2 linked regions of the Saccharomyces cerevisiae S288C genome follow. The protein of the gene in region 1 interacts with the protein of each later gene in a biochemical or structural test. Each region holds a gene or a part of one and is shown on either strand. Other genes may lie near its edges. The genes, in order: NMD5 and ASR1.

What was found.
Region 2: the proteins of NMD5 (region 1) and ASR1 form a complex in vitro, tested with the Saccharomyces cerevisiae proteins (one study listed by BioGRID).

The regions. Positions count from the first base shown.
Region 1 is NC_001142.9:667,683-673,492, forward strand, and holds NMD5 (Nmd5p), read left to right. Parts: upstream 1-1,839; coding exon 1,840-4,986; downstream 4,987-5,810. Other genes in the region: MNS1 (mannosyl-oligosaccharide 1,2-alpha-mannosidase), read left to right, coding at 1-1,611; XPT1 (xanthine phosphoribosyltransferase), read left to right, coding at 5,309-5,810. UniProt on the Saccharomyces cerevisiae protein: Active in protein import into the nucleus. Its major import substrate is transcription elongation factor TFIIS.
Region 2 is NC_001148.4:718,798-722,411, reverse strand, and holds ASR1 (ubiquitin-protein ligase ASR1), read left to right. Parts: upstream 1-1,987; coding exon 1,988-2,854; downstream 2,855-3,614. Other genes in the region: Arf family guanine nucleotide exchange factor SYT1, read left to right, coding at 1-1,375; U2 snRNP complex subunit RDS3, read right to left, coding at 1,452-1,775.

The sequences.
Region 1 (5,810 bases):
GCTATCATAGCAGCTATATACTATGTGCCATGGTACGAACACTTTGAGAGAAAGTCACCGGGGGCCGGAGAAATGAGAGATCGGATTGAAAGCATGTTCTTGGAATCGTGGAGAGACTATTCCAAGCATGGCTGGGGATACGATGTGTATGGACCTATTGAGCACACTTCCCATAATATGCCTCGTGGCAACCAGCCGTTAGGCTGGATTATCGTAGATTCAGTGGATACCTTGATGTTAATGTATAACTCCTCCACACTATACAAAAGTGAGTTCGAGGCAGAAATTCAGAGATCGGAGCATTGGATAAACGATGTTTTGGATTTTGATATTGATGCCGAAGTGAATGTTTTTGAAACTACTATTAGAATGCTAGGTGGTTTATTATCCGCATATCATCTATCTGATGTTTTAGAAGTAGGTAATAAGACTGTCTACTTGAACAAAGCAATAGATTTGGGGGATAGGCTTGCTTTGGCGTTCTTATCCACTCAGACCGGAATTCCATACTCAAGTATAAACCTTCATAGTGGCCAAGCGGTTAAGAACCATGCAGATGGGGGGGCATCTTCTACCGCAGAATTCACTACGCTACAAATGGAATTCAAATATCTGGCGTATTTGACAGGAAATCGTACTTATTGGGAGCTGGTGGAGCGTGTTTACGAGCCATTATACAAAAATAACGATCTTCTAAATACCTACGATGGATTGGTTCCAATTTATACATTTCCAGATACTGGGAAGTTTGGTGCTTCGACTATCCGGTTCGGATCAAGAGGTGATTCTTTTTATGAGTATTTACTAAAACAATATTTATTGACGCACGAAACACTTTATTATGATCTGTACAGAAAATCCATGGAAGGTATGAAAAAGCATTTATTAGCACAATCCAAACCCTCTTCTCTGTGGTACATTGGGGAAAGAGAACAAGGTCTACATGGACAACTTTCTCCTAAGATGGACCACCTCGTGTGCTTTATGGGGGGATTGTTAGCATCAGGCTCTACTGAGGGCCTTTCTATTCATGAAGCCCGAAGACGTCCGTTTTTCTCTCTTTCCCTTGAAAGAAAAAGTGACTGGGATTTGGCTAAAGGGATAACTGACACATGTTATCAAATGTACAAGCAGTCTTCCTCGGGGCTTGCGCCTGAAATCGTTGTCTTCAATGATGGAAACATAAAACAGGATGGTTGGTGGCGGTCGTCTGTGGGTGATTTTTTTGTTAAACCACTCGATAGGCACAACCTACAAAGACCAGAAACGGTGGAATCGATTATGTTCATGTATCATTTATCTCATGATCACAAATATCGTGAATGGGGGGCGGAAATCGCAACTAGCTTCTTTGAAAATACCTGTGTTGATTGTAATGACCCAAAATTAAGGCGGTTCACCAGTTTAAGTGATTGTATCACGTTACCTACAAAGAAATCTAACAATATGGAAAGTTTCTGGTTGGCAGAGACTTTAAAGTATTTATATATATTGTTTTTAGACGAGTTTGATTTGACCAAAGTTGTTTTCAACACAGAAGCTCATCCTTTTCCAGTATTAGACGAAGAAATATTAAAATCGCAGTCTCTGACCACAGGTTGGTCGTTGTAGGTTAGTGTGCTATATAGTGGCCAGATTCGCCTTTTAAAATTCACTATGCGGTGTGATGATGTGCTATACCATTTTTTCCATGTTTAGGAAAATGAAAAATTTGCAATGCTTACTTCAGCAAAAAAGTATATTTGAATCAATATTCATTTATATATTTCAGCATAATCAATCATTTTTCGTCTGGATATTTGACACAATTTTGATTTTGACGAAGACATTTTATTCTCGATGGATATTACAGAATTGTTACAGTGCTTTGCCTGTACTTTGGACCATAACGCTGCCGTAAGAACTAATGCAGAAACACATCTTAAAAATGCAAGTAAAGTACCGGGATTCTTAGGCGCATGCCTGGATATCATTGCTGCTGATGAAGTACCAGAAAACATCAAATTATCAGCTTCCTTATATTTCAAGAATAAGATTACATACGGATGGTCTGCTGGTGCAAGACAGGGTTCAAATGAATTATTAGATTCACATGTTGATCCGGATGAAAAACCAGTAGTAAAAGATATGTTAATTAAAACAATGGTCAGTGTGTCCAAGACCTCCCCGCGTTGTATCAGAGTGCTAAAATCTGCCCTTACTGTAATTATTTCAGAAGATTACCCTAGCAAAAAATGGGGCAATTTGTTACCAAATTCCTTAGAATTACTCGCAAATGAAGACATCACAGTAACATATGTCGGACTTCTGTGTCTTGCTGAGATTTTTAGGACCTATAGGTGGAAGAATAATGATGAAAGACAGGACTTAGAAGAGTTGATTTTAAATTATTTCCCTGCTTTATTAAACTATGGCGCAAATGTCCTTTTCCAAGATGGTAAATATATGAATAACGAGCAAATTGGCGAATTGGTAAAATTAATCATTAAAATTTATAAGTTCGTTTCATACCATGACCTACCATTTACATTACAACGCTCAGAATCGTTTACCCCATGGGCATGTTTTTTTGTCAGCATCATTCAGCAGCCATTGCCTCAGGAAGTTTTGGCTATATCAGATATTGAGGTCAGAAGTAAAAATCCATGGGTCAAATGTAAGAAATGGGCTCTTGCAAACCTTTATAGACTTTTCCAGAGATACGCATCAACGTCATTAACAAGGAAGTTTCAGTACGATGAGTTTAAACAGATGTACTGTGAAGAGTTTTTGACTCAGTTTTTGCAAGTCGTCTTCGATCAAATCGAGAAATGGGGAACTGGACAGTTGTGGTTAAGTGACGAATGCTTATACTACATATTGAACTTTGTTGAGCAGTGTGTTGTGCAGAAAACAACTTGGAAACTTGTTGGGCCCCACTACAATGTAATACTTCAACATGTCATTTTCCCACTACTAAAGCCCACTGCAGAGACTTTGGAGGCCTTTGACAATGACCCTCAAGAATATATCAACCGGAATATGGACTTTTGGGATGTCGGCTATTCCCCAGATCTTGCCGCACTGGCTTTGCTAACGACATGCGTGACGAAACGCGGTAAAACGACCTTACAACCGACCTTAGAATTTATGGTCTCAACCTTACAAAGTGCCGTTGGTGATTACAACAATATTATGTTGGATAATGCCTTGCAAATTGAGTCCTGTTTGAGAATATTCTCCAGCATTATTGACCGTTTGATAACTAAAGATTCTCCATTTGCCAGTGAGATGGAAAAGTTTATATTGACATACGTTTTACCTTTTTTTAAGTCTCAGTATGGGTTTCTGCAAAGTCGTGTTTGCGATATTTGTTCGAAGTTGGGTTCTATGGATTTCAAAGACCCGGTAATAACCTCTACTATCTACGAAGGTGTTATGAATTGTCTGAATAACTCTTCTAATTCTTTACCTGTAGAATTGACAGCTGCATTGGCATTGCAAACTTTTATCAGTGATGACCAGTTTAATATGAAGTTATCCGAACACGTTGTTCCTACTATGCAGAAATTACTAAGTTTGTCTAATGATTTTGAATCTGATGTCATTTCAGGCGTTATGCAAGATTTTGTGGAGCAGTTTGCTGAGCAATTACAACCTTTTGGTGTTGAATTAATGAACACTTTGGTCCAACAGTTTTTGAAATTAGCTATTGATCTGCATGAAACATCCAATTTGGATCCAGATTCCTTCACGAACGTTGATAGCATACCCGATGAATCTGACAAGCAAATGGCGGCGCTAGGTATTTTGTCGACTACGATATCTATTCTGTTGTCTTTTGAGAATTCACCTGAAATTTTAAAAAACTTGGAACAGTCATTTTATCCAGCTGCAGAGTTTATTTTGAAAAACGACATCGAAGATTTCTATCGCGAATGTTGCGAATTTGTAGAGAACTCTACATTCCTACTAAGAGATATCACACCCATCAGCTGGAAAATTTTGGAGCTGATTGGAGAATGTAATAGAAAACCAGATAGTATGGTATCTTATTATTTAAGTGATTTCATGCTAGCCTTAAATAATATCCTCATTTATGGAAGGAACGAATTAAAGAAGAACGAGTTTTACACAAAAATCATATTCGAAATATATCAAAAGGCTGTTACTGCAGAAGATAATTCGTTAGACGATCTTAGAGTGGTTTTTGATTTATCCCAAGAGTTGGTTCTTGCATTAGATGACAGTTTACCTCAACAATACAGAGAGCGCCTACTGGCGGATGTTGTCGGCTCTATTCTAACGCAAAAGAATGAATTGAAAACTAATGTTGTATTTAGTGTGACTGCTTTTAATGTCGTAATCTCAAATATGATAACAGAGCCTTTGATCACGCTTCAGTACCTGAAACAGCAAGGTTGTCTTGAAATCTTCTTTCAAACGTGGATTACAGACTATATTCCGAATTATAAAAGGTGCTATGATATCAAATTATCAGTTCTTGCGTTATTAAAAATTATACTGAAGTTAGAAAGCAACGATTATTCAGTGTTGAACTTAGAAAATTTGGTTCCGCAATTAGGGAGTATTGTTACGCAGTTAGCTTCGAGGCTACCAACGGCGTTAAGGCAATTAGCTAACCAACGCAAGGAATTCTCATCATCCGGTTTTGAAGAGGATACTAAGTGGGATGAAAATTTTCTTGACGTTGGAGACGATGATGAAAATGATGACGAGGGAGACCTTACTGAGAAATATCTGGAACTGATAAAAAATAGAGCCGATTCCTTGGACTTCGTAGATGGTTATGACGCAAAGGAAACTTTCGATGACCTAGAAGAGGACCCATTAACGGGGTCGATCCTGGACACAGTTGACGTATACAAGGTTTTCAAGGAGTCCATTGCGAACTTACAACATGTTGACAGCAATAGATATCAGGGAATCTTGAGACATCTGACCCCGGCTGATCAAGAACTATTCATGGGAATTATGAATGCCTAATTGAATTAAATGGCGATTGTATATTGAAACAAACACTGGATTACATAATTTAGATAGAAGAGAGAGGATATTATGCTCAAAGTTTGTTGCCTTTGCCTCGGCCAGTTGACTTTGATTTGATATCAAGATCTTTTTTTTTTATCTGGAGTCAATGCGATGAACCTAAAAAAATCACAAGCTTTTTTTATCTCTAAGCTGGGGAAAGAATCGTAGTTAAATCGGAAAGAAAAATATCTGAGTTTTGTCAGTCTTTCTTTTGCATAGCCCATCCTTGTACTAGATTTCATAAACATTGATCACTTCAAAATATACTTGTACCAAGATGGCCGAAAATGAGAGAATGTACATCTCCTATAATAATATTCACAAGCTTTGTCAGGGAGTGGCTAAACATATCTTAGCTAGAAACGAAAGACCTGATATTATTATCGCCATCACTGGTGGTGGTATGATCCCCGCAAGAATTATTAGGTCCTTTTTGAAAACTAAAGGACAAAAGAATATTCCGATTCAGGCCATCGGCCTATCTTTGTATGAAGATTTAGGGTTGGATAATAGCGTCGAAACTATCGGCAAAGAGGTCATCAGAACACAATGGCTGGACTTCGGTGCTTTGAACCAACATTTCGATTCCTTAATTGGTAAAAAGGTCCTAATTGTGGATGAAGTTGACGATACTAGAACTACCCTCCACTATGCTGTTTCTGAGCTGGAAAAAGAGATTGCTGAACAACAAAAGGTTTTGAATAGAATGAGTGAGGAAACCGTTATTTCTATCTTTGTTCTACATAATAAGGACAAACCAAAGAGAGCTGGACTACCTG
Region 2 (3,614 bases), on another chromosome or scaffold:
TCCAGAAGTCTCAAAATATTGGAATAAGAATGCTCTGAAGGCAAATTTGTTGAGAAATGAAGAACATAAATACGAAAAATATTATAGTATTATGAATGATACTAAAGGTGGGTATTTACGCTTTCACAAAAGTCAATTGAATAAACTGAATTTACCTAATTTTGAAATATTGAATGATAATAGCCGGTCTGGATGCAAGAACTCCGATTATAAGTATTGCAAAATCCTTCAAATGGGAGCAATAATGAATTTGGGGATGCCCAGTAGAAAATTTTCTATTGTTAACTCCGCTAAAATTCATTGGAAAAAGGAATTTGCCATATTAACATCATTGGGGCTTTTGATCTGCGATAAAATGGACTGGATAAATCCACAGATGATGAAGGACCCAAAATCAGGAACTACAAACTATATAATTGATTTTAAATCAGGATTTTCTTTTGTTCCGGGAAGTACGATTGACGTGTATAACGGTTTATTTGCTGATAGGGAGCGAGATTCACTTGGGAAATCTCATTTCGCAAGTTTGGTACTTGCGTATACAGAGCATCATTCTACTGGGAGTCATACAAGCAACACAACTGCAGCAAGTAGCTCCGCCAAACACAATGAAGGAGTCTTCGAGCCATCTTCAGATGAAGAGGATAGCATAACGAATTCTACTGATGGTACGAGCAGTGTGAGTAACGGCGAGAGTGACAACGATAGTGTTTCTAGTTCAGATAATCAACTCAGTTCAAATGACAGTAATGAAGATTATCATTCCATTAAGGACGAGTATCCGATTTTCGAAGACGAAAATGCCGATTGTCTATTATACTTACATACATGTCATCGAAATTTTATCTGGAAATGTGCTAATAAGTATGAAAGGGACAACTGGATCGATTCTATCAATCTATTTTCAGCATATGACGGATGCTATGTGGAAATTGGTAGTATAGCAAACACTATTTGTAATAAGAGAAAGCTTACCATTTTGCAGAGGATGGAAAGACTTAGGTCTATAAAATCAGCCAAATGGGAGAAATTGAAAAAATTTGAAAGCACTCTGATGCTTATGGGAAAATGTGTTCCTATTAGCACAAAGACTAAGACAGATATGATAAACCGCATAAGACAGCTGGCTGTCAGAATGGACTGGTTAATCTACGAAATTAAGAGAAGCGAGCTGTTTGTAAGTATCATAAAAGAAGTGACTCGCAAGCAGGCTGAAAAGAATATCTTAGAGCATGGTAAAGGAGAAGAGGAGGGGCAAGGCAATAACGACGATAGTGATGGTATAGATGATATAGAGGAAAGCTTCTTATTCAACGAGAACAGTTTGCAAGTGTGCGTGAGCGACAGTAGTTACGACGAATATAGTAACGAATAAGGGGAAGAAAATAGTACCATGGGTTATAAATGCATGTTATTTATTTATATATTTTTACATATTCTATATGTATGTGTTATACCTTTTTCTTTTTCTCGAAATGTCTATCCAGTCTATTGCTGCCAAGGTTTAAGATCCTAGGACAGCCATCTTTATCTTTACCTAAGCGGCAGCACTCCCAACAATAGAATGCGTCATTGACTCCAACATTTAGATTACAAATTATACAATTTTTAGCTTGTTTACCAAACGAACAGTTTTCACATACTCTAACTTTCCTTTTGGGCCTTACATAAGAGTCGCAGATAGGACATTTGCCATCACATTTTTCACAAAGAAGACCTGTCTGTACACCAGGCTGCTTTAGGCACATTATTAGATCAAACTGATGGCGGGACATGTTTTTTTTGTTGGAGGCTTGTATGTGTGTGGATCTTTTTTGTATCCATCTTCATTTTCTATGTTGAATGCCTTAGTAAGTGAGAAATATGGCAAGTAATGCATATATGGAAGAACAGAAAGTGAGAAAAAAAAATAGAAAAAAAGATGCAAGGAGTTGAGCCAAGGGAGAGACCATACCCTCAGCCAAATATCCAAATATCATATAAAAAGATGGAAGAGTGTCCTATTTGTTTGGCAGATGACCAAGAGGGTGAACAATTTGGATGTTTGAACGTTTGCGGGCATAAATTCCACTTAAACTGTATAAGAGAGTGGCACAAGTATAGTATCAACTTGAAGTGCCCCATCTGCAGGGTTGAATCCACCCATTTAGAAGTTGGCGAAGGGCAACATGCACTTTCTATAAATTTGAAGATGGGGTTTATGATTAAGAATGCTATCGATTATGTGGGGGCCGAAACAACTAACGAAAGAAATGAGGACGATACAGGGGAGCAAGACCAAGAAATAGAATTTCTCAGCGAAAGGCTTAGAGGTACGCTGGTGATGGATACCATTAAGATAATTCAGTGCAGCATATGCGGAGACACAGATGTTTCTCGATTAAGCCTGTATTGCCAAGACTGCGAAGCAATATATCACGAAACATGTCTACGCGGGCTAGCTTGTGAGGTGGGCGATCGCAATACGTGGCAGGAGTGCACAGATTGTAGATCAAATGCATTGCTCGAGCTGCGCATGGGTGCTATCAGTAGCCAACTTGCTAGCTACGATTCCAGGAATTCCATGATTTTTGCTGGTGAGTTACGGGACAAGCACAGCGTCAAGACACAGCAGATGTATGAACAGATACGGAATGCCAAGCACAAAATCCAGATGCACGTGCGACGAGCACTGGACCGGTACCCACTGCCTCTGCTGCGCTTCAAGGATGCCTACAAGCACGTCAACAAGCAAGTATCCCGCAAGTTGTACCGTCTCTCTGACAACAAGTACCTGCCTGACCAGTACGATTACGACTCTTTAGCCCGAACTGGAGTGCACACAGAACTCCTAATTTACTGTCATGATGAGTAGTAATGCAATATAACATTAAAACAAGATATAAACAGTATAATACTCTAGTATGAGCCCTAAAAAAAACCCTCAGAAGCGGGTGACCCATCTCTCGTACGACGTATAAAAGCACAAGTTTGACCCATAGAATTTTTTTTTCACATCTTCCTTTGTTTGCTTCTTCGTCTTCAATAGAAAACAGTTGAACAAACTCAAATATAGCACCATTGTGAGTGCTACTGCACTACAAAGAGGCAGATTAAGCGACCAGTAGGTCCCTTGGAAGAGATAATATATGAGTTCCTTTTTTCTTTTTCCATTTTCTTTCTGTGTGACTCCCCTATGATTAAAAATTATTAATCATATACCAATTGTTCCGACTGAATAGTGGTTTAACTACATGTCGACAACCCTTTTTCGTTAAGTTTCAGCCTTGTATGAGGGGTGCCACGGAAGGGAAGAAAAGAAAGCATTTATCTTTCATTATTATCTTTTTCATGCCTGCAATGGAATTTTTAATTTTCCTTTTGATATGATGATTTGTTGTCGACCGGGCGGACATATTAGTATCTGTTAAAGGGTCGCCGTCTACTCTCATCGTTCTTTTGTGTACAAATTTTTTAAAGGAGCGATGTTGATGGCATTATGGTTCTTTAGTGGAGAATTGATGATTGGTCACAAGACATCTGATTTTTTCGGAAATTTGTTTCTTATTTCAATTTATTCCTTATCAGTTGATTTGGATGATAAAAGAGACTGTTGCGGACTAGTTTATTATGAT